4 linked regions of the Saccharomyces cerevisiae S288C genome follow. The gene in region 4 interacts genetically with the main gene of each other region. Each region holds a gene or a part of one and is shown on either strand. Other genes may lie near its edges.

Evidence for each region.
Region 1: mutations in EMC1 (region 4) and INO4 together harm fitness more than expected from each alone (negative genetic interaction), as found in Saccharomyces cerevisiae (2 studies listed by BioGRID).
Region 2: mutations in EMC1 (region 4) and RPN4 together harm fitness more than expected from each alone (negative genetic interaction), as found in Saccharomyces cerevisiae (5 studies listed by BioGRID, with this or other methods).
Region 3: mutations in EMC1 (region 4) and CIK1 together harm fitness more than expected from each alone (negative genetic interaction), as found in Saccharomyces cerevisiae (2 studies listed by BioGRID).

Annotation. Positions count from the first base shown.
Region 1 is NC_001147.6:107,370-115,053, reverse strand, and holds INO4 (Ino4p), read left to right. Parts: upstream 1-3,167; coding exon 3,168-3,623; downstream 3,624-7,684. Other genes in the region: WSC3 (Wsc3p), read left to right, coding at 1-916; YOL107W (uncharacterized protein), read right to left, coding at 1,924-2,952; ZEO1 (Zeo1p), read right to left, coding at 4,416-4,757; SHR5 (Shr5p), read right to left, coding at 5,165-5,878; MDY2 (Mdy2p), read left to right, coding at 6,158-6,796; Rab GTPase-activating protein MSB4, read right to left, coding at 6,866-7,684. UniProt on the Saccharomyces cerevisiae protein: Transcriptional activator of phospholipid synthetic genes (such as INO1, CHO1/PSS, CHO2/PEM1, OPI3/PEM2, etc.).
Region 2 is NC_001136.10:413,724-418,392, reverse strand, and holds RPN4 (stress-regulated transcription factor RPN4), read left to right. Parts: upstream 1-1,684; coding exon 1,685-3,280; downstream 3,281-4,669. Other genes in the region: oxysterol-binding protein related protein OSH2, read left to right, coding at 1-730; phosphoglycerate mutase family protein GPM2, read right to left, coding at 3,505-4,440. UniProt on the Saccharomyces cerevisiae protein: Acts as a transcriptional activator of a number of genes encoding proteasomal subunits. Binds to a PACE (proteasome-associated control element) DNA sequence 5'-GGTGGCAAA-3'.
Region 3 is NC_001145.3:654,983-663,931, reverse strand, and holds CIK1 (Cik1p), read right to left. Parts: upstream 4,188-8,949; coding exon 2,403-4,187; downstream 1-2,402. Other genes in the region: cyclin CLN1, read right to left, coding at 1-1,288; v-SNARE protein VTI1, read left to right, coding at 4,734-5,387; YMR196W (uncharacterized protein), read right to left, coding at 5,590-8,856. UniProt on the Saccharomyces cerevisiae protein: Together with the minus end-directed microtubule motor KAR3, involved in spindle midzone assembly, karyogamy (nuclear fusion) during mating, and with an essential function in meiosis I.
Region 4 is NC_001135.5:39,076-48,861, forward strand, and holds EMC1 (Emc1p), read right to left. Parts: upstream 7,831-9,786; coding exon 5,548-7,830; downstream 1-5,547. Other genes in the region: YCL049C (uncharacterized protein), read right to left, coding at 711-1,649; YCL048W-A (uncharacterized protein), read left to right, coding at 2,413-2,652; SPS22 (Sps22p), read left to right, coding at 3,090-4,481; POF1 (nicotinamide-nucleotide adenylyltransferase), read right to left, coding at 4,586-5,362; MGR1 (Mgr1p), read right to left, coding at 8,036-9,289; protein disulfide isomerase PDI1, read right to left, coding at 9,578-9,786. UniProt on the Saccharomyces cerevisiae protein: Part of the endoplasmic reticulum membrane protein complex (EMC) that enables the energy-independent insertion into endoplasmic reticulum membranes of newly synthesized membrane proteins.

The sequences.
Region 1 (7,684 bases), on a different chromosome or scaffold from region 4:
CTCCTCTACTACCTCTATCTTTTCTGTTACGTCTAGCTCCTCATCCATTACATTGTCCTCATCTGAGCATACCACAGTCGATAGCCGTACTTCTTCACCCTCTTCCACCTTGGTGCCAGTGTCCTCGAGTAGCAGCACACTATCAACTCCAAAAGTGACCTCAATGACCCCTAGTACGTCATCAACGATACCAATAGTTACCTCAGTGGAACTAGTGACTAGTGTGGTTACAAAAGCGATCGTGAGTACTTCTGATCAACATCAGGAAACAATATTTGTTACGAGGACATCCGTGGTTGAACGATCTTCTGAGGTAGCTACTGCTACTGCTGCCGCCTCAAATAATAGATCTAATTCGACTTCGAAGCAGCGTCTGAGTGGTGGAGCCATTGCCGGTATTGTTATTGGTGTTGTGTTTGGCGTAATTTTTATTATTTTGATTCTATTGTTCCTGATATGGAGGAGACGGAAATCGCACGACCAATTAGACTTGGAGGAAACGAAACATTATCAGCCCTATTCGTTCGGTGATGAGGATGCAAATCCAATAGGACCGCCTCCCTCCTCTGGTACGACAAATTGGATGAGACATTCAAGGGGTAATACAGCGGGTTCTATCGGTACAAGTAATATGTATGGTTTTTCTATGAGTAATGGTGCAAATTATAGTAGTCCTAGTTCAAACACCAGTGGAAGCATCATAAACAACTTGGCTGGCTTACAAGATGCTACGGTTCAGAAACAGAACCTTCCATCGACAGTTTTTGAAGAGGCAAATACTTTGAATAGTGCAAATGAAAGGTTCAGTGCCAATTCTTTACCCGACATGATGATGAGCGGACCATTGCAAGTGGTAAACCCTGATAATCCTGATAATCCTGAATTATCTAGTACCGTATCTCATAATCGAGCCTGAAAAACTCGCATAAACTCTCAACATTAATGGTAATCAACTGGTTCTGCTGGACGGAGCCATTCTAAATCATTAACTTTATAATATCATGTTTTATACCCTAATATTTAAACAATTTACTGCTTTTGGCACTTCAACTGTTAGAAAAAGAACAATAATATTTAGTATTTAGTTTCATTTTTAAATTTTCTGATTCACTTCATTTGCAGCTTCTAATGATGTTTGTGGTACAAAAATATAAACAATTTTAAAATATTAAAAAAAAATGCTTCCAATCGGATTTGAACCGATGATCTCCACATTACTAGTGTGGCGCCTTACCAACTTGGCCATAGAAGCTAAATCTCTGAAAGCTGCGCTCTTCAAAGGCGAACCAAGCAAGATAAATTAATATTATTATGTAAAACTATCGTTTTCCTTTTGTTGATTCCTATATCCCGGAGAAGAACTACTAATTATCAAATTATTCACCAAATGATCAAATTTAGCAGCGTAGTGAGTGCCACTATGTAGATGTTGGAATAAAAACCAACTATCGTCTATCAACTAGTAGTCATACTATCAATATATTATCATATACGGTGTTAGATAGTGACATAAGTTATTATAGAAGCTGTCACCGAAGTTAGAGGAAGCTGAAATGCAAGGATCGATAATGTAATAGGATAATGAAACATATGAAATGGAATGAGGAATAATCGTAATATTGGTACATAGAAATATAGATTCCATTATGGGGATTCCTATATCATCGAGGAGAACTTCTAGTACATTCTGTATACCTAATATTATAGCCTTTATCAACGATGGAATCCCAACAATTATTTCAAAATTCACCCATTTCTCAGTAGAATTATTAATATTGGGGAATATATGGGTTTCTATGGTTCGATAGTACTGGCGCACATTCAGCATACAAATCCTACTACCTTGGTAAAGACCGAAATGCCAACAGCCGTCATTAAATCACGATATAATAGAGCATATTTCAAGTTATATAGATCCATATATCAAGGGTTTACCATACGCTCTTCCAAAACTTGTAAAGCTAACTGTCTTCGTCTTTCTTCTACAGTCATAATTTTTTTGGCGCCTCTACTTTCTGCGATGGTGTTCCCAATATCTATATCAATATCATGAAAAGGTTTAATGACTTTAAATTTTACAACAACTACATTATAAATGAAATTGAAAATCGGCCTCAAAATCGGCTTAATTAGATCAGGAAAGAAGTAAATCAATTGAAAAGTATCAGATGCATCGCCGACCAATATTTCCTGACCACCTTGAGAATTAGTTGTTGGCAAAGAGGGACAATTCAAGGGTGCAAGTTTCTGGAAAAACCTCAAGTACGACCAACTGGCAAAAAAGGTAACCCAAATGGAGAACAATTGAGCAAAATGATGAAACCATATTATTTGGGTTACCGTCATTGTAAACATTACAAAAATGGGTAGTAATTTGAACCTAAAGTTTTTGGCCAAAAATTGAGGTGTCTTCAGATGGATTATAGTTGTTTCAGGCAATAACTGTCTATAAATGATAGGGAAACCGATTAAAATTGTGTAGTTCCCGTCTAAGGGAATATCCAGCCTTACCTTATTAGAGAAAAAAGATACTAACAAAGTCAGCATGATGATCAGAACGTTTGTAAGAGAACCTAAAACTATGATAAATTTGAACATTTCTTTGGAAGAGTTCCAATTGCGTTCAATGAAGGATCCACCAATGATCAAATTCAATAAGTTCACTACCACCTTCCAAGCTTTAGTGTCGATGAAGTTGGATAGAACTAATGAGGTGGGGTACCTCCAAATCTGCGAAGGTACCATTTGCAAAAGCGGCGAAGTAATCAAGTTGTAGTCCAAGTTAGGGTCTTCAAGAACTAGCTTGTTGTACAAGGATCTCCTTATACAGAAAAGGGTTGCAGTTAAGCATATATAAGTGACTGTAATAAATTTAGTAGCATCAGGAATCTTATTGATATTTAAAAATGAATCCGGGATATTCAATTCTAGGAACCTCGAACTATATTGCATTATAGTGAACAAATATCTTTGTTATAAATAGATTAGTCGTCTTCTTTTTCTTGGCTTGGTTTGTATGAGCTTGTTACGTATCAAACAAAATATTCACATGTTTTTCTCACCTTAAAGACAGAGGCGCGATTGCGTTTGCGAAATTCCAATGCCAACAAGATAAGCTTGACGAAGGAGTTAAGAGGGCGGCTTGAACTAAAAAGAGAAAAGCAATAATGACGAACGATATTAAGGAGATACAAACAATACAGCCGGGATTGTCCGAGATTAAGGAGATAAAGGGTGAACTGGCTAATGTGAAGAAAAGGAAACGCAGGTCTAAGAAGATTAATAAATTGACTGATGGTCAAATACGTATAAATCATGTTTCGTCTGAAAAAAAAAGGAGAGAATTGGAAAGAGCTATATTTGACGAACTGGTAGCAGTAGTACCTGACCTGCAACCCCAGGAAAGTCGGTCAGAACTAATCATATACCTGAAAAGCTTGAGTTACTTAAGTTGGTTGTATGAAAGGAATGAAAAGCTGAGAAAACAAATCATAGCTAAGCATGAGGCAAAAACCGGCAGCAGCAGCAGCAGCGATCCCGTACAAGAACAAAATGGAAACATTCGGGATTTAGTACCGAAGGAGTTAATTTGGGAGCTGGGTGATGGACAGAGTGGTCAGTGATTCAAGGAGTAGGGTAAAGTAAGTAATATAAGCGAAGAAATTCTTCCCATACCTTTTCTTCACTTTGCAGAGGGGAGTGGTGCATATCCCACAAAGAAAAGTAGCAACAACAATGATATATATACGTTACTACTAATGCTTTCCTTCATCGAAAGTGTGCCGAAGTATTTATTTAATCTTTTAGTGTTCAACTTACTATAATGTGATACTTTTTCAATATTGTTTGCCGTTGAAGCGATAGTGCTTTATGTCATTTTATCTTTCTTTTACATTGTTTTATTTTAGAGCTAAAATTGAACATCAGTTTGCAAGAAGTCAGTTGGTTGGCCTTTGCTATTAAGAGACCATAATGTTATAGTGATTGAGATCAGTTTCACCAACTAATAACAATTAACCCGGGCGGTTAGTGTAGTGGTTATCATCCCACCCTTCCAAGGTGGGGACACGGGTTCGATTCTCGTACCGCTCATATTTTTACTTTCTTATCAAACTTTTTTTCCTCCGGGACGTGAAATAACCGCCGAGGTTATTCTCGGAGCATTCTTTTTTGTGGCTTTTGATCATCCATCATCATCATCATCATCATTATTACTACTACTACTACTACTACTATTATTATTATTATTATTATTATTATTAGTATTATTATTATTATATTGATTAGTTATTAGATAGATACAATTAAGAAAAATTTATGTAAAAGGTCAGAATAAACAGCATTTTTCTCCTCTTTTTTTATTTTTAAAAAAAGAAAAAGAAACTTCTAGTAAAGTGCAGCACATTCAAGTGTGATTAGTTGAAAATGGAAGCAATTTTACGGTTCAATTTCTTCAAGAAACCGCCTTCCTTCTTGGTTTCCTTCTTCTCACTGACGGCGGCGGAAGCTTGCTTCTTAGTTTCTTCAACTTTGTTGGCAGCTTCGGTCTTCTTTTGTTCGACACCATCAGCAATGTTTTGTTCTTCCTTCTTCACCTGTTCAGCTTCTGGAGTAGCTTCATTTTTTAGGTTGTCGATAGAAGCTTCAGCTTGTTCCTTTACTTCTTGGCCCTTGTTTTGCAAAGATTCTTTGGTTTCTTCCAACTTTTGTTGGACATCTTGGGCGGCAGTTTCAGCTTTGTTTTGAATTTCAGACATTATTAATTGATATAAACGTAGTTTTGTATGTTTCTTTGATTTGAACTTTTAAGTATACAGAGAAAAAAACCGATCAAAGAAAACTAAAGTATAATGAGGTTAAAAACGAAAGTAATAAAGTAGAAAGGCTATCAAGCAAACTGAGATGATCTTCGACGTAAAAACTCGCTCTATATATATACGCCATATAAGCCCATCGGCGATGGGGGACAACACGAAGAAACAAGAGAAGAGGAGAACCGCACAGAAAGCAGCAGAAACAGAGCAAACCAGCATTAACTAAAGATGATAAAAATAAAATTAGGTAAGAAACCTTAATTGGATATACAAAAATACACTGGAGGCACAAATCGCCATCGATATAAAACACGATAAAGCCCTGGTGCACCCATAAACCACACGTTTAACTATTTGGGTCGGGGCACGACGAAATCTAGGGATAGGCACCCGGACCGTCGGGGCAATACTAGGCGCACACCGCGCTCGTGAAGCAGACCTCCCGGCGAGTTTAGCTGCGCCACGTACTGCTCTAACGCGAGAGACTCCTGAAACACAGGTCTAGAAAGAAGGGGCCCCAAAACCCAGCTCCACAGACCGCCCGTAAGCATATCGAGCAACAGGCCACTTAAGTTACGCCACCCGAACACCTCACCTTCTTCACGCAGCAAGAATCCGTTTACCCGGTGCACAACCTCCGCGAGCTCTGCCGCACTAAGATATTCTGACAGAGGCGAGACGGAGGAGCAGCCAAACACGTGATCCCCAATGTCGTAACGCCCGCACCGCACAAAGCTAGTGCCATCGTCGCCCACGATTGCCGCCGGCTCGCTACCGGGAAGCTGTGTACTAAATTGTGGCGTTTCAAGGCTGCTGCGAGACTCATCGAACCGCCGGGGCACTCGTACCACCCGGGTCACCTGGAACTCGGCAGAGCCCCGAGCAGCATACACATTCGGGAAATGTGTAATACACAATTTGTGGTCTTCGTCGTGCTCTGTGGGTTTAGCGTCTTCGGAACCGAGGTCTTCGTAGAATGAATACGAAAACTCATGGTAATTAAAAAATAACGCCCTTTCGCTCGTATTTGCGTTATCTTCTTCCTTTTGATGGCTATCGCACATCTAGTAAGGGTTAGATTGAGTATTGTCCTCTAATGTAACTTTTTCCTCTTATTCCTCTCCTCCCCTTAGCTATTATATATCTTTTTTACCGAATCTTGAATTAGGAATAGTTTTAAAATCAGGCCGGAGGCCGAGCTTGCGACAACTACGACCAAAAAAAACAAAGGAAAAACGAAAAGAAGAAAACATGCACAGGAGAACATAGTTGGAGAAAAGGGTTAGAACAGACCGATACAGAGATAAACTAGCGAAGAATAATAACTTTATACAAAATTAATCATGAGCACATCCGCCAGCGGTCCAGAACACGAGTTCGTTAGTAAATTCTTGACCTTAGCCACTTTAACTGAACCGAAGCTACCAAAAAGCTATACTAAACCTCTGAAGGATGTTACCAATTTGGGTGTCCCGTTGCCTACTTTGAAGTATAAATATAAGCAGAATCGTGCCAAGAAGTTAAAACTGCACCAAGATCAGCAAGGTCAAGACAACGCCGCCGTCCACTTAACCTTAAAGAAAATTCAAGCTCCCAAGTTCTCCATCGAGCATGATTTCAGCCCATCAGATACTATCTTACAAATAAAACAGCACTTGATCAGCGAGGAAAAGGCCTCCCACATAAGCGAGATAAAACTGCTTTTGAAGGGCAAAGTCCTCCACGATAACCTGTTCTTATCGGATTTGAAGGTCACGCCTGCCAATTCCACAATCACAGTCATGATTAAGCCGAATCCGACTATATCTAAGGAACCCGAAGCCGAGAAATCCACTAACTCCCCTGCTCCTGCTCCTCCACAGGAACTCACTGTGCCCTGGGATGATATCGAGGCTCTTCTGAAGAACAATTTCGAGAACGATCAGGCTGCGGTTAGGCAAGTCATGGAGCGTCTACAAAAAGGCTGGTCTCTGGCCAAATAAGATTAGTATAGTTAGTACGTACATACTTGTTATTTTACACAGTTGCGCTTTTTATCACGGTTGCGCTTACTATTTTCTTCTTTCCTTTGGGCGGCTACTCGCCCTTTGTCTATTTCTCGCCATCGCCACATACTCTCTACCGCGATCAATCTTTTCCTGGGTAATACCATTCAACGCAACCTTCTTCTTCATCAGGACTTTCTCAAAGATATCATTCGGATTGAGCAATCTTTTTGGGAAATTTTGAATCACTTGCAAAATCTCCATATCTGCCTCTTCCTGCGTCTTAATCTTGTTCTTTAATCTTTTGAAAGTTGAATCAGAGTCATTACTACCACCGAAGGTGTACGAAGAGTACTGTCTAAACAGTTTCTGGCTTTTACTCTCCAAAAACTCGCTTTCGCTCAATTTCAGTATCCCCAAAGCCACTTTAAATAAAAAATGAGACTCTTCATAGAATAAACAGTCCCATATTCTCAGGGTCGTTTCGATGGGCACCACGCCCACAAAACAGCTCATAAACCAACTTGCCGTACACAGCGTCAGCGTAGGCAGCCTGCAGAGATATTCTTCCCCCGATGCTGGCCCTGATATCTGGTCAGTGCTGCCATTGCCATTCATATACGATGACTCAATGTGTGACCATATCTCGGGTAAATATTCCTTGATACATAACACCAACACCCCTTGATCCACGTTCGCACCCTCTAAGTCTGATTCATACACGCCAGGTAAATACTTACCGGTAATAATAACCAGCATCCAAAATGCTTTCTCTTCTTCCATGAACAATAATAGCAATCCAACGAGAAAATTCATCGATTGGCAGTATCCAATAGTCTTGTCATAAACAGAAAAGGCCATTAATACTCGACGCAATGATCGGAT
Region 2 (4,669 bases), on a different chromosome or scaffold from region 4:
TAAGTTGCGTCCAAATGACAATGAAAAAGAGGAACTGTATACTTGGAAGAAGCCCAACAATACTGTTATAGGTATTCTCATTGGTAATCCACAAGTTGATAACCACGGTGAAGTGAACGTTGTCAATCACACAACCGGTGATCATTGCAAGTTGTATTTCAAAGCAAGGGGATGGAGGTCATCAGGAGCATATGAAATCACAGGCGAAGTCTACAACAAGAAAAAACAGAAGGTGTGGATCCTAGGAGGACACTGGAATGAAGCTATTTTTGCCAAGAAAGTAGTAAAAGATGGCGATCTCTCGTTGGAGAAAACTAGAACCGCTGCATCAGCAGGGAATGGGCCTACGGATGACGGAACGAAGTTTTTAATATGGAAGGCAAACGACCGTCCTGAGGAGCCATTCAATTTAACACCTTTTGCTATCACGCTGAATGCTCCACAACCACATCTATTGCCATGGTTACCCCCCACAGATACACGTTTGAGACCAGATCAAAGAGCAATGGAAGATGGGCGTTATGACGAAGCTGGTGATGAGAAATTCAGAGTTGAAGAAAAGCAAAGAGCAGCACGCAGAAAAAGGGAGGAAAATAACCTTGAATATCACCCACAATGGTTCGTCAGGGATACTCATCCCATCACAAAAGCTAAATATTGGAGATATACGGGCAAATATTGGGTTAAAAGAAGAGATCATGATTTGAAAGATTGTGGTGACATTTTTTAACACGCCTTTTTTATGCGAGCTTTTTTCCTGGTACTTGTATGTATTTTGAATGTATTTTATTGTACTGAATTGTATTTTATTCTACCGCACATTTGTTTCTTTTGGCATATATAGTATGTTTACTTAACAATAGGGATTTCCTTCAGTTTTCCTAGATGTATCAATTTAGTTATCTTTTCGAACACTTTGGTTATGTCACCATGGTCAGATGACCATATTATTTTGAAATCCATATAACCAATTACAAAGCAAGCAACAAGCGAGTAAATAAAATCGTTAGGCGGTTACCATAACCCTTCGTTACGACGCTAAAGTGCTATATAATGCCTCCATTACGGCTGCGATAGAACTGTGCCTAAATTAGCGGCAGAGGTTGAAAACCAATCATCACTAACGTATTCAATATTAATTGTTGAGAAAACCAACTACGGATTGTTATAGAGATCAAACTATATGCACTGAGAGGACGTTACTTCTTTTTTTACTACCTTTCTGTTCCTGTAATAACAAGTTCCGTGGAACTCAAAGAAAGGTGCCTCAGCCCGTACGAACCTTTCCACGGATAATCACGTGATCGCTATTACTAATAGCCGTTTACAGTGATGGTTCTAGAAAGTTCCGTTTCGGCGAAACTTGTTGAGGAGAGCAATTCTATATAAGGAAAGAATAGTTCGAAGCCCAATTTGGGGAAAGCCCGGGATGAGCAGCCTAACCCACACGGATAATTTTTTATCGTTCAAGGAGGAGGATACGTTTTATCTCTAATATAAATTAAAGATAAACCCGAAACTCTTTTTTCTTCTTGGCGTGGAATATTTAAGGAGTAGATCAGTTCCATTTTGTTCATCCTTTTCTCCTCAAGGAAGAACTCCGCTTTTTAGTTGAACTAATAGTAGATAGTACTAATAGCTAATTTGTATCTTTTCAAAAGTTTTCTAGAATTTTCAAGCAATCATGGCTTCTACGGAACTTAGCCTAAAAAGAACCTTAACGGATATTTTAGAAGACGAGTTGTACCATACTAATCCAGGTCACAGTCAGTTTACGAGTCATTATCAAAACTATCATCCAAATGCTAGTATTACTCCATATAAGTTGGTGAATAAGAACAAGGAAAACAACACTTTTACGTGGAATCATTCATTACAACACCAGAATGAATCGAGTGCAGCTTCGATACCCCCACAACAAACCTACCATTTCCCGATATTCAACAAATACGCGGATCCTACTTTAACTACCACCACCTCTTTTACGACTAGTGAAGCAACGGCCAACGATAGACAGATTAATAATGTCCATCTCATACCAAACGAGATTAAGGGTGCTAGCGAAACCCCATTGCAGAAGACCGTCAATCTAAAGAATATAATGAAAGTATCAGACCCGTATGTACCGACACGGAATACGTTCAATTATGATGTTAAAATTTCCAACGATTTTTTCGATAACGGTGACAATCTATATGGTAATGATGAAGAAGTGCTTTTCTATGAGGATAATTATAATCCGAAAATGCAGTGGTCACTTCAAGATAATAGCGCCGCAATAAACAATGAGGATGCGAGAGCTATTTTTAACAATGAATTTGACTCTGATGACGACGATATCAGTGATGATGAAGAGGATGAAATAGAAGAAAATTGTTTGCAACAAGAGCAACACCAAGAGGAGCCTTTACTGTCATTGGATGTTACACCAATCTCAATGTTTGGCTCAGATCAAAAAACGGGTCGTGCCAAGAGTTCTAGTCATTTATTTAATGAGTACAGTTACGTTGACTCTAACATGGACAGCATTTCCAGTGTTGTATCTGAAGATCTGTTAGATGAACGGGGACATGAGAAGATAGAGGATGAGGATGAGGATAATGATCTTGATGAAGACGATATCTACGATATCTCTCTCTTGAAGAACAGAAGAAAGCAAAGTTTTGTCCTCAATAAAAACACTATTGATTTTGAAAGATTTCCATCTCCCTCAACCTCGGCAAACGTACCGTCTACTGCTACTACCGGTAAAAGGAAACCAGCAAAATCATCCAGTAACCGTAGTTGCGTTAGTAACAGTAATGAAAACGGCACATTAGAAAGAATAAAGAAGCCTACATCAGCTGTAGTAAGCTCAAATGCTAGTAGGCGGAAGCTAATTAATTATACTAAGAAGCACTTATCTTCACATTCATCTACAAATTCGAATTCGAAACCTTCGACTGCATCACCATCGGCCCATACGTCATCTTCTGACGGTAATAACGAAATATTTACGTGTCAGATAATGAATCTCATTACAAATGAACCGTGTGGTGCCCAATTTTCAAGGTCCTATGATTTAACGAGACACCAAAATACCATTCACGCTAAAAGGAAGATTGTCTTCCGTTGCTCGGAGTGTATAAAAATTCTTGGATCTGAGGGCTATCAGAAGACGTTTTCGAGACTGGATGCTTTAACAAGGCATATAAAATCGAAGCATGAAGATTTGTCGTTAGAACAACGTCAAGAAGTTACAAAATTTGCAAAGGCTAATATTGGTTATGTCATGGGTTAATTAAGGTTACAAATTATATAGGAGATAAAAGAAGAAAACCTCACACAAAATGGAAATACATATACACATCTATATATATTTACAATATATATCATATATCTGCATTCAGGAATGTTCTTATAAATATCACATTTTTAAAGTACCTCATTGGACTTATAATAAGTTTTCTATTGGTTTTCATTATACTTCGGAAAATACACAATTATATTATATACTTACCCCCCTTAAGGATTTTTTATGAAACCCTCATTACGGACTTTCTCAGCATTGATCTTAGCAGATTCAGGATCTAGGTAGAATTTTCTGATAAACTTAAGACCATTATTCTTATCTAATTCAACGACTAAGGGGATACCATTTGGAATATCAACATTCTTGATGTCATCATCTGATATACCCTCCAGAATTTTCAGTAGCGATCTCACTGAACTTCCATGGCCCACAATCAGGCATGAAGATTCATCATATTGATTGGCTAATTTTAATATGACATTTTGTAGAAAAGGATTCAATCTATAAACCACTTCACGAAGAGATTCGGAATCCGGTAATACAATGTCATGATTGCTGCATTCCAATTCATATTTTATTTGTCTGTTTGGCTCCTTGAATTCGTACCCAGTAGAAGAGCCCTTCTCATTTTCTTGTTGAATCATCTCACGGTCAAGATCTACAGGTGGTGGCTTACCCTCGTAATCTCTCCTAATGAACATATATTTATCCTTACCATATTCTTTTAAAACATTCGGTTTCCTCTGGCCCTGCCAGGAACCGTAATGACGTTCATTTAGCCTCCAAGTTTGAAGAATCGGGATTTTCATATTATCCTTGTCATCACTGCCAAATTCGTCTCCAAGTTTGATTTTATTAAAGTCGTAAACAACCTGCAGTTGTGGCTTTAACTTAAATTCTTCACACATCGTTTCTATGGTCTGTTGGGTCCTAATTAAACGTGAGGTGTAACCAATCTGGGGTAATCTCAAATTATTAGCTTTACAATATTGTTCGATTAGCTCGGCAGAATGACGAGCTTGTTCTTTACCTTTTTCGGTTAGCTTAGCGTCAATCCAACCACAGAATATATTCTCGTGATTCAATTCACTTTGTCCATGCCTTAACAAGAACAATGTCATGACATTGGATGGTGTGCTTGCAGTCATTGTTTACTAAGTTAATATATCTATATTTTTTTTATGTATTCTTGGGTTTAAATTGAACAACCTCGTATTTGGATGTGTGTCTCGAAACACTTCTACGTATATATATAAGCTACTTTGGATTCAAAGATAATTTTGTCACGTTTGTTCTGGTGGGAAATTTCAGCCAAAGGGAAAAAAAAAGAAAACGGTGAGCTCCGTATTATCTTCGTCGTGGGGTGATAACAACATG
Region 3 (8,949 bases), on a different chromosome or scaffold from region 4:
GTGCACTGAAGTTTCGCATTGGAGTATAATTGGTTCCCGAAGAATATGTGCTTGGAGAAGAAACTGATGATGAAGAGGCATTTTGGTCAAAGTAACGAGAATTGACAGCAATTTTTCTGGTTAGGTCTATTGTAGAGGCCAGTTGCAGTTTCTTTTGTAATTCCAAGTTATAATCTTTTACTTGTAATATGAAAGGTACTATACCATATTGCTCCTTATAAACTTCGACTAAAGATGGGGGAGAATTGACTATGCCATTGATGATAATGCTGAATACCTGCGTTTGAGTGTTTGAGTTTATATCATTACCAATGGGCATAGAGAGAAAAGGGCCTTGATCTTGATTAGTGAATTTGTTTATTATAGAAAACATACCATTGCATATTTCGTATAATTCGAATTTAAGCAAGTTGTATTGCCAACAGCTCAGATCAATTAAGAATCTTTTCAAATTTATCAATTTAATTTTGGAATTTAGTTCTTCATCTTCATCCATGGTAGTTGTATCGCCATCTAGTCCAGTACTTTGCGGTGAACTACTGATATGTTCTTCCACTGTGGCATCACTGTCGTCAGAAGATTGTGACTTTCTCTTACAGGACCATTCTTTGCCGTTGCTATTGTTATTTTGTAACTGGTTTTTGTAAAGTTCATATTGTATCAAACAATTTTCGTCAACGTTTAAAATGTAGTCATTAATCATGGGCTCATAAACGTCCCAGTTCAGAGTATCCAAGATATGTCTTTCCATTTGAATGAACATTGATTCATCGAATAAATCGGACCCGCCGCAATAATGAACCAATTCAGAAAGGCGTGGAATACGAGCTCTAGGATTGGGACCATAAAACCTACCACCTGTGGGGATGGAGACGTTGTTTATAATATGGTTGCACCCTCCCCAAGTTTTGGCCGCTAACCAAAGGCAGGTGCCTACAACTAGTTTAGCTTGGTCCTTTAACACTACTCTCTTAGAGCAATAGCGATCGTAGAACCTGACAGCGTGGAAGAAGATACCATTACTTACTCTAGTCATCACTGAAAGTTGATACAAAAATGTTACTATGGCTTCTCTAGTTTGATGAGGATTCATCTCCGGTTGCTGATCGATCAATTTTATGTCTGGTTTTGTCTTGGAAGATTGGACCAGCACATTTTGAGAGATTTCCTCGTGATATTCCTGTATGGTTTCGTAATGAGTTAGTAGTTCTGCATTGGACAATTCAATTGGGTAATATGTCTGCTTTGCAGTGACAATTAACCCAGTTTTCACTTCTGAGTGGTTCATGATCTTTTTATTTATTTTACAGAAATAGCTAACGAGCAGTGGAGTGGTGGTAGTGCTATTTTATTTAATTGCTATTATTGTTATCGTCGTTAAAATGTATTGTCAGCAAAATTACACTAATTTCTTCTATCCTGGGGAGATGGGATGAATAAATTGACAATAACCAGGAAATAAATTAAAGCGAACGAAGAACTCCTTGGCCAATTTGCTCTTAAGTGTGCATTCAACTAAGAAACTATTGAAGATAAGCATTACCAATTCCAAAATATATTCTTATATAAAAAGAGATACTAAGAAAATATCGAGAGATTAATTGCTGCACTCGCACCGGTACCACTTGGCGCAGGAAAACTGCGGTTTCCACAGGGGACCCACGCTGCCTTTACTCCATTCTCAATCTTGCCTTCTGCAGTATCTTTTTTTTTAATTTTCGAGTCTTCGTCACTTTCGAGTTAGTCTCCCTCCCAGCCTCGACCTGGCACCATTCAGCTCAATCCAGCAAAATCGCCAAAAATGCGTCTCCGATGCTTTCAAGGTTGGAAACTAACTAACGCGGTGCGAGATTCCCTCGAAGAAGTAAAATCGCGAATTCTTCCTTGAACGCGTCTCTTGCAGGCTGAACAAAGAAGTCGCTAGTGGATCGTCACAGAATGAACACGCCCACGAGCGGGATCTGGCTCGAGTTGTCATGAATACTGAAAGTATCAGGCGCGGGGTTGTAGTAGGTAAAGAATTTCTCCAAGAGGTTGTAGGAATGGACTTGTTTACCCCTTTACGCGCGGTGTTTTCGTGGCTTTACCGCATTGGGGTATGTCCCAGAAGAGAGTGTGCGCTATTCGATTTCCTATCAGTGAAGTGTTGCGAACAAGGGAATGCTGTCGAATTAGGAAAACAAAAGTTTATTCATGCAAATTTTGTGGCACGCTACCCTAAGTTCTCGATGATGTTTGGCTGCGTTTAAGTGAGTAATTTACATCCGCCTGTTAGTCCCGTAACATTCTCTTTTATTTTGCTAGGATAATTAGGTTGATGCCACGCACGACAATGTAGCTACGTAAGTTTTTTATGTAAGGGAACGAGACGAAGTGATTGTAGCGCACAAGATCTGGCCTTCTTAATCTAGCTGAGGTAATGTTATTGTTCTTTTCAGCTTTCCCGCTAAGGCTAGAGCCTTCTCGATGTTTTCACCAGCGTTAATCTTGAAGACAAAGCACTGCTTTGTTTTAGTGAGAATATGCGAAAGGACTGAGGGAGCATCATCAAGCTCTCTATTCAGCTGTACCGTGGACATACTACCGATATATATATTCATTGAATGGGACTCTTCATCTTTTCCCAACTTGGTATCTAAAGTTAAAATGTTCATGCATTCTTCATCTTGTGACAGATCTCTAATTTCTGTTGGGTTATCTAATCCAACGTCACTGTGTTTAATACTTCCGTCAAGATGCAAAATGTTCAATGTCATCTTATAATTCTCACCGTACTGCTCAATTAACTGTTTTAGCAAAGTCTTTTTCATTGGTGCTGTGGGTTGCTGCGAAACCACTATAATGCTGCAGTTAATTAACTTGCTGATGTATTTTTCCAGGAACGGAATGCATTCGTTATATAAGCGTTTGTGATCCTTATGGATTTCTTCGAGAACTACTCTATCAAATACTTGTACCCGTTTTTCTCCACTATTCTCGCAAATGCACCGATCCACATAGTTGATATGGAATTCATCAGGCATTTGTCGTTCATTGGCATACGCAAAGCATCGGGTGTATCCTTTGATTTCTTCAATTGAAGTGGCCAGATTTTGTCGTGTGTATAATTCCTGTTGAACCTTTTCTAGTTCATTAACGTACTTCTTCTTCCAATTGTTTGCTTCTCCTTCGACTTGCTTCTTCTCCTCCTGCACTTGCGTCAATGCTTGTGATGTAGAAGCAAGCTTCTTTTTGAGAGGAACAACGGCAAGTTCCATGCTATGGAAGTTCACTTCTGCCTCTCCAATCCTTTTTTCAAAATCGTTAAACTCATCTCTACACGTCTTAATATTTTCTTTCAGTTCACCATGGGTGTCTTGTAGGTCTTTTAAAACTTTCGAAAGTCTTTCTTGCTCCCCATCTAATTCAATTCTAGCATCGTTCTTAACTTTCTTGAATATCTCGAATTTCTTGTCCAATTCTTTTTTGTAGTTTTTACACTCGTTCTCATTTTCATTCTGTAGAATGAATAGTTTCCTATTGACCTCCTCGAATTCTGTTTTAAGCTGTCGCATTTCGTCAGTTAACCTTTCGTCAGGTTTCAAATTTTCTACTTCCATTAATTTATACGTCCACTCCCTTTTGGCATTCGATAGCTCTTCCTCTAAATCGTTTTCGAACTCTTGTACTTTTACTGCATGCATAGACACTATATTTTTTGATGATAGCTCAACATTCTTTCTTTGAAGATCACATTGATTATCCTTCAAGTCCATCTCCGTTGATAGTCCATCAATCTCATTTTGTAGCTCCCTGCACGCTTTGACTTTTGCATCTAATTCTAATGTTATTGCAGGTAGTTCCCTGGCATGAATACGAACAGATTCCTTTTCAATTTCAGAAATAGCATTCAGTAGTGAATCTATGTCTTTTCTAACCTTACGTTCATTGTTCTTAACCCTTTCAATAATCTTGGGGTCCCCCCCAAAGGTTAGTTTCTTAGTATACGTAGCGGAGGTGTCATCAGTGTAGCAGCGCCGTATACCAGATCCAGAGCTGTGCAATATATTTAGCTTGTTGTTATTAGGAGTTAGTATCATATCCATTTCTCTTTTCTGAACCTTCTGTCGTTTTGTCTTTGGAAAGTCTCGAGTGACGTTGTTTGGATCACTATGAAAGGAAAGTTTAGGAATTTTGGAGTTATTCATCCTAATAATAAAGCTTATGTCAACGAGTTTCAAATGCCAAAACAAATATTAAAATAGTGAATAGCTCTTATATATACACGGTCCAACCCTATGGCACAAAATTCACTTATTTAGGCGCTTAATTATAATGTCGTAGTTGTGTTTCAAAGTTGCTTCAGCCAAACGGAAAAGCCGCCTAAATGTGTCGATCAGTGAATGAGCTCAATAACGTGTGGATATCAAAAAATAATACAGTAAAGCCTTATTCTCGGACGATATGCTCAATGGTCAACGACTGACTAGTTTTATTTTGATACGAGCTACGACAGTGGTATCTTTCATATACTAGAATCATATTAGAGAGTAAATAAGAACAAAAATGGTAAACAAACAAATATCACTATGGACGATATTACTGATCACATGACTGTCTAATTTTCAATGAAAGTTAGGAGTGGAGTAGTCGTGCTATATAGGGCAATTACTATTCTTGGAAAAGTGTAAAGCTTTACATTAAGTTGTATAAAACGAATCAACCGCACTCTTTACATTGCTGCATGGCTTACTATGAGTTCCCTATTAATATCATACGAATCTGACTTCAAAACAACCTTAGAACAAGCCAAAGCGAGCTTAGCAGAGGCCCCCTCACAACCGTTATCACAGAGAAATACTACACTGAAGCACGTAGAACAGCAACAAGATGAGTTGTTTGACCTGCTAGATCAGATGGATGTAGAAGTTAATAACAGCATAGGCGATGCCTCAGAACGTGCTACGTACAAGGCGAAGTTAAGAGAATGGAAGAAGACTATACAGAGCGATATCAAACGACCACTGCAATCCTTAGTAGACTCAGGCGATCGTGATAGACTTTTTGGAGATCTTAACGCATCTAATATTGACGATGACCAAAGGCAACAGTTGTTGAGCAACCATGCAATCTTACAGAAATCGGGAGATAGACTAAAAGATGCCAGTAGAATAGCAAATGAAACTGAAGGAATAGGGTCACAAATAATGATGGATTTAAGGTCACAGAGAGAAACTTTGGAAAATGCAAGACAGACCTTGTTTCAAGCGGATTCATATGTGGATAAAAGTATAAAGACACTAAAAACAATGACTAGAAGGCTAGTTGCTAATAAATTCATAAGCTATGCCATTATCGCAGTCCTTATATTATTGATTTTGCTAGTTTTGTTCTCAAAGTTTAAATAAGGTGGGAAAACAAATTCAATAAAAAACCTCTAGAATCTAAAGAACATGTCAAGGAACTATAGAGTTACCTTCACTAGTAATATCAACGCTACCTTACTGATAAAAAACTACTGCAATTAAATATTCTATAGATCAAAATATAGAGGTATATCGTTGGAAATATTTTTCAAACGTACAGATATTGAAGGTTCACCGCAGTTAATCAAGACACATCCTTATTCAACGGACTCATTGGGTCCATTGGGTCTATATCCTCATCTTTAGCCTTGTCAGTTACTTTCATATTTTTCACCTTATCTTTTAGCTTGCCTATAAGCTTGGTTTCAAAGTTGTGACGATCTTCAGGTACCACAGTTTCGTGAATACCTTCCTCTTCATTCATTTCCTCCATCAAATGTCTAGCCTTGTCACTTGAAATGCTGCTTTGTGGTGTCAACCCAGAATGGGTGCCCCCTATCCTATGATGGCGCTTTTCTTCTTCGGTTAAGTCCAAAATGGTGGCAGTGTAGTTTACCAAAGACTTTGCACTCTTACGTCTTGCCATTCTCTTCATTTTGGGACCTTGCTCAGAGCTCTCTGTTGAAGCGGTCGTTGCCACAGATGATCTTGGCGTACGAGGTAGTCTTACACAGGATATACCTACATCACTTATCCATTTGGCCACAAGAGCAGTCCAACCACATTGGTGTGAAGCGCCAAGCCCTCTTCCAGTATCACCGTCAAAGTATTCAAAAAATGGCACATAATCCCTGAAATATGGATCAGAAGACAGAAACTTAGAGTGATCACCATAATGAATGGCGCGCTCCCCGTTTTCGTCTGGAACAAATAAGTGAATCATACGATATCCAAGTTCTTCGGCAACTTCAGCAAGATTCAAATAATCTCCTGAACCTACGGGACACTCTACTTTGAAGTCGGAACCGTAGTACAGGTAAAACCTTTGTAATGCTTCCATTATTAAAAAGCTGGTAGGAAACCAAATGGGCCCTCTCCAGTTAGAATTACCGCCGAACATACCCGAGTCTGATTCGCCCGGCAAATATTTGACCATATATTCGACACCATTTACATTCATTTCGAATGGGTGCTTCTCATGATATTTGGAAAGAGATCTAATACCATATGGTGACAAAAACTCAGTTTCATCCAGCAAACGTGACAGTATGGCTGTTAATCTTTCCTTAGTAACTAGGGATAAAAGTAGTCTTTCTCCCACTCCTTTTTTTGACATGGACGCAATGTTTCTATCAAAGATTTCTGGACGGTTGTTCACAAACCAATCAACCCTCTTCTTGAAACCGCGGAATTGTTTTATGATACTAGGCTCTAAAGTCATAGAAGCATATAGTGGGATCAATCCCACGAGAGATCTTATTGGTAGTTGCACCTTGTGGTCACCCCAAGAGATGGCATCGTAATAAAATTTGTCTGCTTCATTCCATAGGTTTTGTTTGATAACTTCTTTACATTTCTCTCCCGTAATATCAGTAGCGTATTCAAAGGACATAGAGTCACTGATTAAGATAAAATGTTCAAAAAATTTAGAGGCAATATCTTCATAAACCGGGTTTTCTTTGGCGAGCTCTAATGCAATATTTAGCATTTGAAGGCTGAAAAAGGCCATCCAACCTGTAGAATCAGCCTGTTCAAGCGTACCGCCAGTGGGTAGTGGTTCTGATCTGTTGAAAACGCCAATATTATCAAGACCCAAAAATCCGCCCTCAAAAACATTTTTACCTTCAGTATCCTTTCTGTTGACCCACCATGTAAAATTTAACAAAAGCTTCTGGAAAACTCGTTCTAAAAATGTACGATCTTCACGGTTGTACATGTTTCTTTCGATCTTGAAAACACGATACACAGCCCATGCATGGACTGGTGGATTTACGTCATTGAAGTTCCATTCGTATGCCGGAATTTGACCGTTAGGATGCATGTACCACTCTCTGGTTAATAAATCCAATTGCCGTTTTGCAAATTCTGGATCAATCATAGCTAAAGGAATGCAGTGAAACGCAGTATCCCATGAAGCAAAAAATGGATACTCCCATTTGTCGGGCATTGATAAGATATCTTCGATGTAAAGGTGCTTCCAGTTCTTGTTCCTGCCATTAGCTCTATTAGGGGGAGGGCGAGGCTTAACATTGGCGTCACCATTATACCAAGCATCATATGTAAAATTGTAGAACTGTTTAGTCCATAGCAAACCAGAAAAAGCTTGTCTTTGAAGGTTTCTTAATTCATCACTGATTGGCAAAGGTGTAATCCTCCAGTAGAAGTTATCAGCTTCCTCCTCTCTGTTATCGAAAATCAAATCAAACTCATCTTCATCTACGACAGCCAGGTTTTGTGCCTTAAAGATAGAGTTTTTTGGGTCATTTGTAAATTTGTATCTCACAGTAACATACTCTCCGGGCGGAATATTTTTGAAGTGATATACTGCGCAGGCCTTTGTTCCTTTATTTTCAGGATTTACAGCATCGGTTTTGCCTTGAACAAGATATTCTTCAAAAGCATCCTTTGTGTACTCGGAAGGATTCTTTTCTTCGTTAAATAGTTTTACTAAATTGGACTCATTATCGGTAAATAGCAGCAGAGGATCTATATCTTCTACCTCTTTATCTTCCTCTTCCTCGTTTGTACCGGAAGAGAACCCACCTGGAGATGGCTGAAAGACCATTTGGCAATTACCATATTTCTTGTGAGTCATATTGATTAAGTTCGCTGCTTCTGCATCTCTTTCAAGCAAGGGCTTGTCCTTTGTTCTAGTACCGTCAAAAGCCCAAGTATTTCTGAAGAAAAGTTGGGGAGCTATGTAGAGCTCACCAGAGTCGATTTTACTTCGATTATGTATAGTTAGCCGAAAGTTCAGTTCACTAGGGTTTTCGTCATCCTTTGCCATTTCAAAAAAAACATCGAAATAAGGGTTGTCACCGGTTTCACTATCACGGTATAGCCCATCTATATCGTAAACTTCGAATTCTTTATCCTCGTATCCCCTTTCACCATTCTTTTGCACCAATTCTTTGTATGGAAAGGCCTTTTTAAAGGGATACTTGTATAAAGCTTTCATATATGAATGAGTGGGAGTATTGTCCAGGTAAAAGTACAATTCCTTAACATCCTCACCATGGTTCCCTTGTGGCCCAGTCAACCCGAACAACCTTTCCTTCAATCTTTCATCTTTACCGTTCCACAGAGCGACATTCATACACACCAATTGTTTGTTATCTGAGACACCAAATAATCCATCTTCACCCCAACGGAATACTCTTGCATTGGCATGTTCGAAAGGAAAATTGCTCCAAGCATCACCGTTTAAAGAATAATCTTCACGGACTGTCGCCCAGCTTCTTTCACTCAAGTAGGGACCCCAACGATACCAGTATTTCTCATGATTTCGATTTTCACGCAATCTTTCTTCTTCTACTGTAGAATCTACAAATTTGTCTCTTAGCTTGTTCATTGTTGCTGTTTAGACTTGCTATCTCTTACCAATACAAGGTCTTAACACTAGTAAAAGAATACTTGACAAGACTCTTTAGTTGCACTTTAGAAA
Region 4 (9,786 bases):
AACTGGTGCTTGTATCCAAGAATAGCTTCTTGCTGTAGGTTATGGGAATATCGTGTAAGCTGGGGTGACTTTTGAGCTATTCGCGACGCCCGACGCCGTAATAACTACTTTCGACAGACCACTTATGACAGTATTTCAGGCCGCTCTTATAAAATGACATGTTAACAAACAGTTCTGATTATTCGCCTTTTGACAGGACGATAATGTAAATAGTTGTGGTAGTATCATTCAGGTATGTAACTGTTTACTTTGTATCGCTTGAAAAAAATAAGCATTTCAGAGCCTTCTTTGGAGCTCAAGTGGATTGAGGCCACAGCAAGACCGGCCAGTTTGAATGCTCAACTCTTCAAAAGAAATTCCTCAAATATGTCCAGTTTCATGTACTGTCCGGTGTGATTTATTATTTTTTATTTACTTTGTAGTTCTTAAAGCTAAGATTTTTTTCTTTGATAAATTCTTGTTTTCATATCCTAAAATTAAAGGGAAAATAAACAATACATAACAAAACATATAAAAACCAACACAATAAAAAAAAGGATCAAATACTCATTAAAGTAACTTACACGGGGGCTAAAAACGGAGTTTGATGAATATTCACAAGATAAAAATCATATGTATGTTTCTGATATATCGATATACAATCAAACACTTTCAAGAATTTGTTTGTAGACTTTTTGCTAGAGACCTCATCAAAGTGCTACCAACTAAGATCAACTTATACTTCTTTTAGAGAAAATTTTTTTCAATGTACTCCAAAGAGATTTAGATCCTGTCTCTTCCTCTTCCTCTTCCTCGAAAGTCAAAGAAAAATCAGAGTCTCCCTGCTTATTCAGGCGGAGAGGCTCTAGGGTAGTTGCGTTTCTCTCATTGGGACACTGAACCTCATTTTCCAACATTTTGGTCATGTAAGAGGCGACAGGCTCATCGCAGGTGGGTGCATCAACATGGTAGTACCTGGACCAAGCGCTACATTGAGTCCCTCCTGGATAAACACCGCTACAATATTGTCTTTGGACGTTTGCCCAAACCATATCTTTTGAATACCAAAGCTGGACCACATTGTATGGCCTAATCATTGGTGCTACCATAATACTGGATTGGGAAACAGTCTGGTTAATTTTTTTCAACCAATTTTTCTTATCTAGCAATGATTTAATAAACCTGAAATCTAAATTGTCTTCGTTAGCGTCTGTGTCATAATCTACAATTGAGTACTGTGACGTCCAATTATATGGCACCGAGATGGGGAATCTGTCCGGTGTTTCGTCGCTGTTATCCTTCTCCTCCCTCCAAATGCAGTCAGAGGCAGGTGCCCATTCGGTTCGCCAGTCTCCGTTATTTACTACTTGGTACTGTTCCCAATCGTAATACGTTTCCTCTGGGTTGAAGATACTTGCTCTGCTCTTGACATTGCCCATAGCCACACCACGAGAAACATCGTGGAAGATTACGGAGCTGTTTACGATAGCAGGAGCAATGGATTTGACGAATGACACTTGATAAAAGTCTTTGGTCGAAAATACAGTATCAACGCCGTCGTGGGACTCGACCCCTGGTAGAAGAAGCAGAGCATCTAGATCAACGGTAGATGCTGCAGAGGTCAAAGCCACAAAGAGGGAAGATGCAGTTACGAGGTATTTACTAAACATTGGTTCGAAGTGATTACAGATTTTTCTCTCTTGAACCCTGGAATTGCAATAGCTTGGTTCCTATTGGGACCGGACCCTCTTGCGTAAAGTATATATTTAGAAGCAGCTATTTAAATCTGAATGCAAGACGAAAAAAAGCTCGTTTATAGGAGAAAAATACCAAAAAAAGGAAAACCATACACATTCGGGTATCCCAGCTTTGCTTGCAAAATCAATCGATGAGCAAGACAAACAGGGCCAGCTGATGCATATGTTTTGTGTTGCTTTCCTACGATCAGCTAATGCGAGTGTTATAAATATTCCCCTAGTTTTCTTCTCCTCCTTTATGTAACAATAACTTGTGGACTTCCCCAACATAAGACTAAAAGCAAAGGGATAACAAGGGATTTATCTTATTCCATCCCTTTGCCTAGCGCACTGTTACGCAGCTGATCTTATCAACAAGTGTGGTTCTTGCCTCTAAGATTTACATTGCCTTTTCCCAAAGGGAAGGTGGGACAAAACTCATTTTCCCTAAGGGGAAACGTAAGATACCCTTTAGGGAAGATAAGGGAAGTTAGTAGATTGACGACGTAAATCTGTGATGAGATGAAAAAAAAAGATTAGCATCTATATAAGAAAGTACATAACCTCCATTTAAGTTGAAAAAAATTTGTATGTAATGTCTTTTCTTCCTCTTTTCTTTATTTCATTCTCACCGCTAAATCGATAACGGCTAAAACAATTAAAGCTCCCTTTTCAAACCTTATACTTCCGTTAAATAATGCAAATCAAAAACATTGTCGCTGTTCTAGCTACAGTCACTGCTATCAACGCCCAAGTTGGCATTGAACCTAACGCCACTACTCCAAATGCTACGCAGCCAAATGCTACGCAGCCAAATACTACTCTTCCTACCGCTTCGGTGACTACGACAGTTTCGATTGGCGAAGCCGTAGTTAATACCATGGCGGCGGGTGCCTTTGGAGCAGCAATCGCTGCCGGTGTTGCCTTCTTATTCTAGGAACATTTTTATTTCCTTTATTTTTTTCTTTCTTTCTAATTCCATAACCGTTGTTCAAAATTGGGGAGCTTTTTAACTTTCGTTCCATTAAGCTTTTTCTTTGTTCTTTACGTTTGATTCTATTTCAACCATAATTTATTTTTTCGTTATTTAATAATTACTAATATTTAATACTAGATGTATATACGTTGTGTGTATGCGCTACTATAGTATAGCTTAACTGTTTTATTATACCCTTTTTTTCTCTCTTTACTGTACAGAAGATGCGTCACTAATTCAAAAAAAAAAAAAAAAAAAAAAATATAAAAAAGAAAGATTTTGGAGAAGCTATATCCTTTTGTGACATACAATAGAGAAACTTGTTCTGTTGGTAAGATATCTCATCTGAAATACAACAAGGAAAACCAAAAGCCATTTTTTCATTACTTGATCGACTTATGAACCGTATTACTAGGAAAAGTTGTTTATTCGCGATTATATTTGCATCATTATTTGTGACACATGCATTGGGTGCCGCTATTGATCCGCCAAGGCGACCACATAATGTGAAGCCTTTTCATAACGGTAATCTCGAACTTCAAAGAAGAGCAAATGAACCGTTTTTTGAAATAGATGTCAAGAGTCTGAACACAAACTCACCGATATCAGAGTTGTGTAAAAAAGATTTGCACGTCATTGAATCGTCTCATGATCTTTTTCATTTACAAAACCAATGTGAATTCATCTTGGGGTCATTAAAAGTCACAAACTATGATTCTAACATTTTGGATTTGAACAGCTTGAGGGCCATTGGTGGTGACCTGATTATTCAGGATTCACCTGAACTGATCAGAATCCAAGCCGGGAACTTGAATAAAATCGAAGGGCTCTTCCAATTACAGGGACTAACCTCTTTGGTTTCTGTTGAAATTCCAACTTTGAAATTTTGTCAGTCACTGGAGTGGAAAGTTGTTCCCATCTTGAACTACGTCTCCATGGATTCTCAGAATATTGAGATTATAAAGGATATTGTCATATCGGATACTTCATTAGCAAACATCGAGAATTTCAACAAGGTTCAGGAAATTGATACTTTCAATATCAATAATAACAGATTTTTAGAAACTATTCATTCGAACGTTAAAACCATTAGGGGACAATTCAGTGTACATGCGAACGCTAAGGAGCTAGAACTTGAAATGCCACACTTGAGAGAAGTGGAAAACATAACGATTAGGGACACATCATTGGTCTACCTTCCACAATTAACAAAAGTGAAAAGCTCTTTAGAGTTCATCGAAAATTACTTTTACGAATTGAACCTGAACAATTTGCAGAAGATTGGTGGAACATTAGGAATTATCAACAATGTAAATTTAATAAAAGTTAATTTGGAGAACTTAACAGACATTCAAGGTGGCTTGATGATCGCCGATAACGAATCCCTCGAGGATATTACTTTCCTGCCAAACTTGAAGCAGATTGGAGGTGCTATTTTCTTTGAAGGTTCGTTCAAAGATATCATGTTCGATAGCTTGAAACTGGTGAAAGGTAGCGCTTTTATTAAGAGTTCATCAAACGTGTTGGATTGCAATAAATGGACAAACCCATCAAATGGAAGATCAATCATCAGGGGTGGGAAATTCACTTGTATTTCTGGTAAGAAGGAAAATACGCTGAATGTTAAACAGGATGGTACAATCATAGAAAAAGGGTACAAAGATTTAACGCAAGAAGGTGAAGACTCCAAGAAAAGAGTGATTTCAAAATACGCGAACTCAGCAAATCCAAGCATGCAATTGGACCCCCTTCTTTTTGGTACATGCCTTGTTGCTATGTTATTGTTTTAAGATTACTAGTCTAGTATAACAGAAAGTTTTTTTTGTTCCTAATATTATCTTTATCTATATACATATATCTCCATGAAAGGCATTTGAATTTCTATCTTTCTCTTTCAATCAAATATTGTCTTATTATTGATCAAATAATCGTATATGCACAATGGCAACTCGTCTTTCAAACTCTCCACTTGCCCATTCTTCAGTTTGTTCCTAATCTCGGATGATGAAACATTTCTTAATGCTGGATAATCATTTTGCATAACATGAATCCTAGCGCCCCATTCTCTTGGTATTACCGGTTCGAATTTTCCCTCAAGGATGTCACTGGCGTATCTTAGTTGCGATTCAGCACTGAGATGGCAATCGCCTCTCGCCAAGCAATATAATTGAGATCCCGACATGAAGCTCTCCATTACATCACTGATTTTTAAAGGATGATAATATTTTTCATCAAAGATCCTAGCAATTGTATCAAAACCAACTAAGTAGCCTATATCTGCACTGCATCCTTTAACAAATTGCTCATGTAATATTTTGTCCTTGTCGATGAATTTCGAGAAAACAGTCAACCCGACAGATACTACAGATTGGGGGAGCTTCTCCTGAAGGTAGTCAGCGAATAAGCACATCATTTCCAGACGAGTTGGAAAAGATGCCGGCTTAGGCAACTTATCTGCATTATTCACCGCTAACAGTAATAAAACATGCGAACGGGTGTCCTTCAATTTGAAGTTTTTAATAGTCTGCGATAGTAGTTGAAAATGGGCCAGATGTGGTGGATTGAATGAAGAATCAAGGACAAATAACTTCTGACATTCTAGATGCTGGGGTCCTTTGAGAACCTGAAATAGTAAATTGCTTTTTCGAAACTGCTCGAACGTCTTCTTCATATTAGTCTGCTAGTGCACGTACTGCTATCAACCGTCATTGATTAAGTGTCCATTTTCCAAAGAAGTAGGAGATTATATAACCACGAGTATGACGTCTTCCAGGGAAAAAAAAAAAAAAAAAAAAGAAAGCCAAAATAAGGAGCCTTGAAATGTGTATCTGATATATATAATGTGTATGTAAATATCTATTTAATTAGCCATTGGGATTTCAACTTCTTGTTTGAAACAGAAGGACGGATAAAATACGTGATCACCAACAAGACGAATATAGTAATAAGCAATTTACCCTTTTCGAAAGTAGGACTCATTAAATCAAATTGGCCCGAAGGTGTGATCCTTGTACAAAATACATCAAGGCCTAGATCACATATAATGCTTGTGGATTCCAGATTGGTTGGGATGGAGATCAACTGCGAATCGGATCCTGGCAATAGATTTCTGAAATGAGTGATAATGAAATTATCATTAATTGGGATAACTGGCGTGTATGGGGTAGCCATAAACTCTTTTTTCTTATCCTTGGCCATTTCTTCTGCTGGTTTACCTCTTGCATTCAATAAAAGCTTTGGTATGTAGGTGATTTGTCCATTTTCTAATTCCATAACGATTGCCTTTGTGGTAATATCATCCGTTGTCTTGGAAATGGACATTGTTTTGATAATCTCGGGAAAAATGAATTGTTTAGTTTGAAATTGAGGTTTGTTAATGTGTCCAGTCAATGGATCATAAGAAAAATTGTCGCTTGAGTTAGACAAACGCTCATCTGGGGTTAGTGACTCATATAATTCCACCACTACTAACTTTTGTTCTGGAACAGGTTCAGAACTGAAATAGGAATAAACGACCCAATATTCACCGAAAACAATATCCATTGGAAACCTAAAATCCGGAGAATCCTTGTGCTCTTGGGTAATGAGGATTTCTCCTGTAATGGTATCAATTAAGTTAAAAGTGATTGTATGATGTTCTTCATTAGCGATCAGATAAGCCGCTAGGTTGGGGTACAAATATTTATAAAGAACCGATTTGTCACCTAGTGTAATACCAAGAGTGTTTAGGTTTGTTGTTTCCCTCTTGCTATATGCCACCATTTTCTCTTTCGAATTTACGGCTTTTTTCCAAGTTTGTTTTACCGTATCGTTTTCGATTATGTAGCCATAAATGCCATTCGTGTCATGCTCTGTGACGAATATGTGGGAACTAGAATGGTTGTTGGCAACTATTGGTACATCCGTATTCTTGCCGGGATTCAATTTGAACAGTAAATGATCCTTATCCTCAAACTTAATCAGATACTGGTGATCATGTTCATTCAGCCTAATAACGGAATCAACAGTTTTCCTTTCAGATAGGGGGGATCTTGATTTGATAATCGGTTGATCTTTAGTAACTTCAATTGTCAAATAATGCCCATCATGCGAAAAAACAACAAGTTCGTCATGGTTTTTATCCGTCCAGAACATTTTGACGCCCTGATCAATTTCTAAATCGAGTTTCCAGATAAGTTGGCCCTTATTGACCATATCAAGGCCGCCGATAAAGCCATCATGCGTCAAAACAATTAAGATTTTGGCGAATCCGAACTTCAAATCTGATACCGTGGTATCCTTAGCGTCTAGAGCTAGGAGTTTAGTGAAGACACGTCCTGGTGAGAATTGGTTTTCTTTCAATAAGTTGATAAGGCGATTCCAATTAGTTGTCAATCTAAGCCAGTAAGCATTCCAAAGCGAATTTGAATCAAGTTCCGCTTTCATATCTTTGTTCAACTCCACATCCCTAGAATCGAAGACGTCCAATACAGCATAGTCTACCACGTTAGTCAACCATTCATCTCTTTGCCAAACGGGGATCAATTCTGTGCCATTGGCAGAGAATCCCATATATTGGGTATCATTAACGTTCAACACTAACGCCAGGGGATCTTCACGATGAAAATATTCCACTTTATTGAACCCTTGAGGTAACTCCAATTTCCATTCTGCCAGTTTTGACTGCTCATCGAGAATATGTAGTTCATTGTTCTTAATAGATACTTGATCGTTTAAATATGAGGATTGAGGTAAAATGGTCGTAGAAGGGGCATTATCTACGCCTTCCTCTAGTAAAAACCAATCGTGTAAATCATATTTCTGCCAATGGTTGCTTGAAGAGTTCACACAAACCATTGCGTTATGGTCATTACTATCCAGTTGAATCTCATCAATGGTAAAGGGTAAAACGTTTCTGAAAAGAATCTGTCCGGAAGAAACGTTAAACGAAGAAACTAAGCAGGAAGTTTCGGTAGGGTTCGATAAGATGAGAACCCTGTTGCGGTCTCGAGAATCAGGGATGACTTTCTCCCAAGGACCTAAGTTAGCCAGTTGCCAATCAGTGATAAATGCATCATCTGAAAAAACGGCTTGGACACAACTCGTGTTTAGGAAGAGTAAAATGAAGACGTACACCAAGTCTGTACACGTTATCTTCATTGCTATGGGGGAAGGGGAGGATGAAAGTGTTGATATGAATGTAGGTATTAGTTATTAATGGAGTGTATATATATATATGTTATTATATATTTGCATATATAATATGAAATCCCAGCCATATTTTCTCTGGTAGCCGTCTGAAAAATCACGGTGTACGAAGAAGGATTTAATATACGCACGGTACAACTAAGCAATCCGCAAAGACCTAATGTGTCTTTTCATTAGTGAGAGCCTTGGGGGTAGGCCCTGGTAACGGCTGGTCCGTGCTAGTGGGTGTCTTGGTATGGGAGGGCATGGTAGTTGGTATGAATTTGATGCTTAGCGAAGTTTCTAAGGCCAAAGTCATCCATGGATCATAAAGCGATCTTATTGTATCGAGATCAATATCTTGCGGGCCTTTCGTGTCATGGGGCAAAATGACACCTCGGGAGAGTGTGGTGCTGGATCTCTTCTTTACTGGTGCGGAAATGGAATCTCCCGAAGATGCTAAGAAATGCAGTCTTTTTTCCACATTTTGTAGATGGAGTTTTTTGGACTCGGAAAGACCTTCAAGGCCAGTAGAAGAAGACTGCGGATTGTGGGATATGGAATTGATGAGTTCAATGGAATTTTCTCTAATGTTTCTTTTATTTTGAAAAAACTCGAACATGTCCAAGTGAAATTCCATGCGATTGAGGTACTCGTTGAAAGACATGGGCTTGTATTCCAAGGGTCCGAACCATTTAATAATGGGATTCTGCGCCTCAACTTGCGCTCTAGCGAGAGCGACGCTTTGTTTGACCTCAGGGATATTTGTCGAGAGAGGAGTACCGTTCATAGCATCCTTGACTTTTATTTTGGTGGGGTCTATGCCCTCGTGATAATATTTGACAATATTGTTGAAAAACTTCTTGTCACGTACGGATTTCATTTCGTCGCACCAGGGGTCGTATTTAAGAAAGTTCAGGCGAGTAAGCTCCAACAGTGACTGAGAAAGTAGCAAAGAGCCAAACAACCCCCATAAGAGCTTTCTGACGCTGACGAATCGAGATTGGCGAGGTATGATGGGAGGAGGGGCGAGCACAATGTCACCATGGGTGGTGGAGAAGCGGTTCAAAGTTGGAAAGTCAGCAATATCCTTTTTGATTTTAGTCTTGCCATTGACAATCATTTCACTGGGTAGTTCGCCAAAGGATAAATCCGAGTGAGTGCCAGTGGCAATGCGGCGCGGTGGCGGTAGTTTGTAGAGCCTTCTCAGTCTCCAAAGGGCAAAGAAACCCACTGCAGATTGGATAGTGATTAGAGTGTATAGTCCCGGTAGGTTATCAGGAGCGGGTACGAGCGGACCCCACAGTTTTAAGCCTAAACTTGGCCTTATGTAGAATTTCTTGATATCATTATCATCTTTGTCGTGGTCATCTTGTGTGTGAGTATGGTCGGTGGAATTGCTATTACCTGATGGAGGAGTAAATACAGCCATCTTTTATTACGGTAATTGGAAAAGGAGAGGGAATGGAGGAGGATGAGATAAGTAGTTTCCTAAGCAGTAAAGCAAGTGTCCACATTTAAGTAAAAGACGATGCCATGCACTTATTATTACTACGTGGTCAATTTTCTCTTTCCCTAAGGCGTTCGTGCAGTGTGACGAATATAGCGAACAACTATTGTGTTTGAATTTTAACGTTTATCTTTTTATGATTTTTTTAAAAAAACTTCCTAGAAAATTTCTTATATATCTCTATTTAATGAAAAACCAAAGTGATCAGAATTACAATTCATCGTGAATGGCATCTTCTTCGTCAGCCAATTCAGCGTCAGCATCGGCTTCCTCAGCAGCTTTTTCCTGGGCTTCTTCGTACAAGGCCTTACCGTCGACGTCGAAGTGACCGTTTTCCTTGATGAAGTCGAATAAAGAGTCCAAGGATCTTGAACCTTGGTACACAACAGATTCGGACTTCTTACCACCTGGGTATAAGA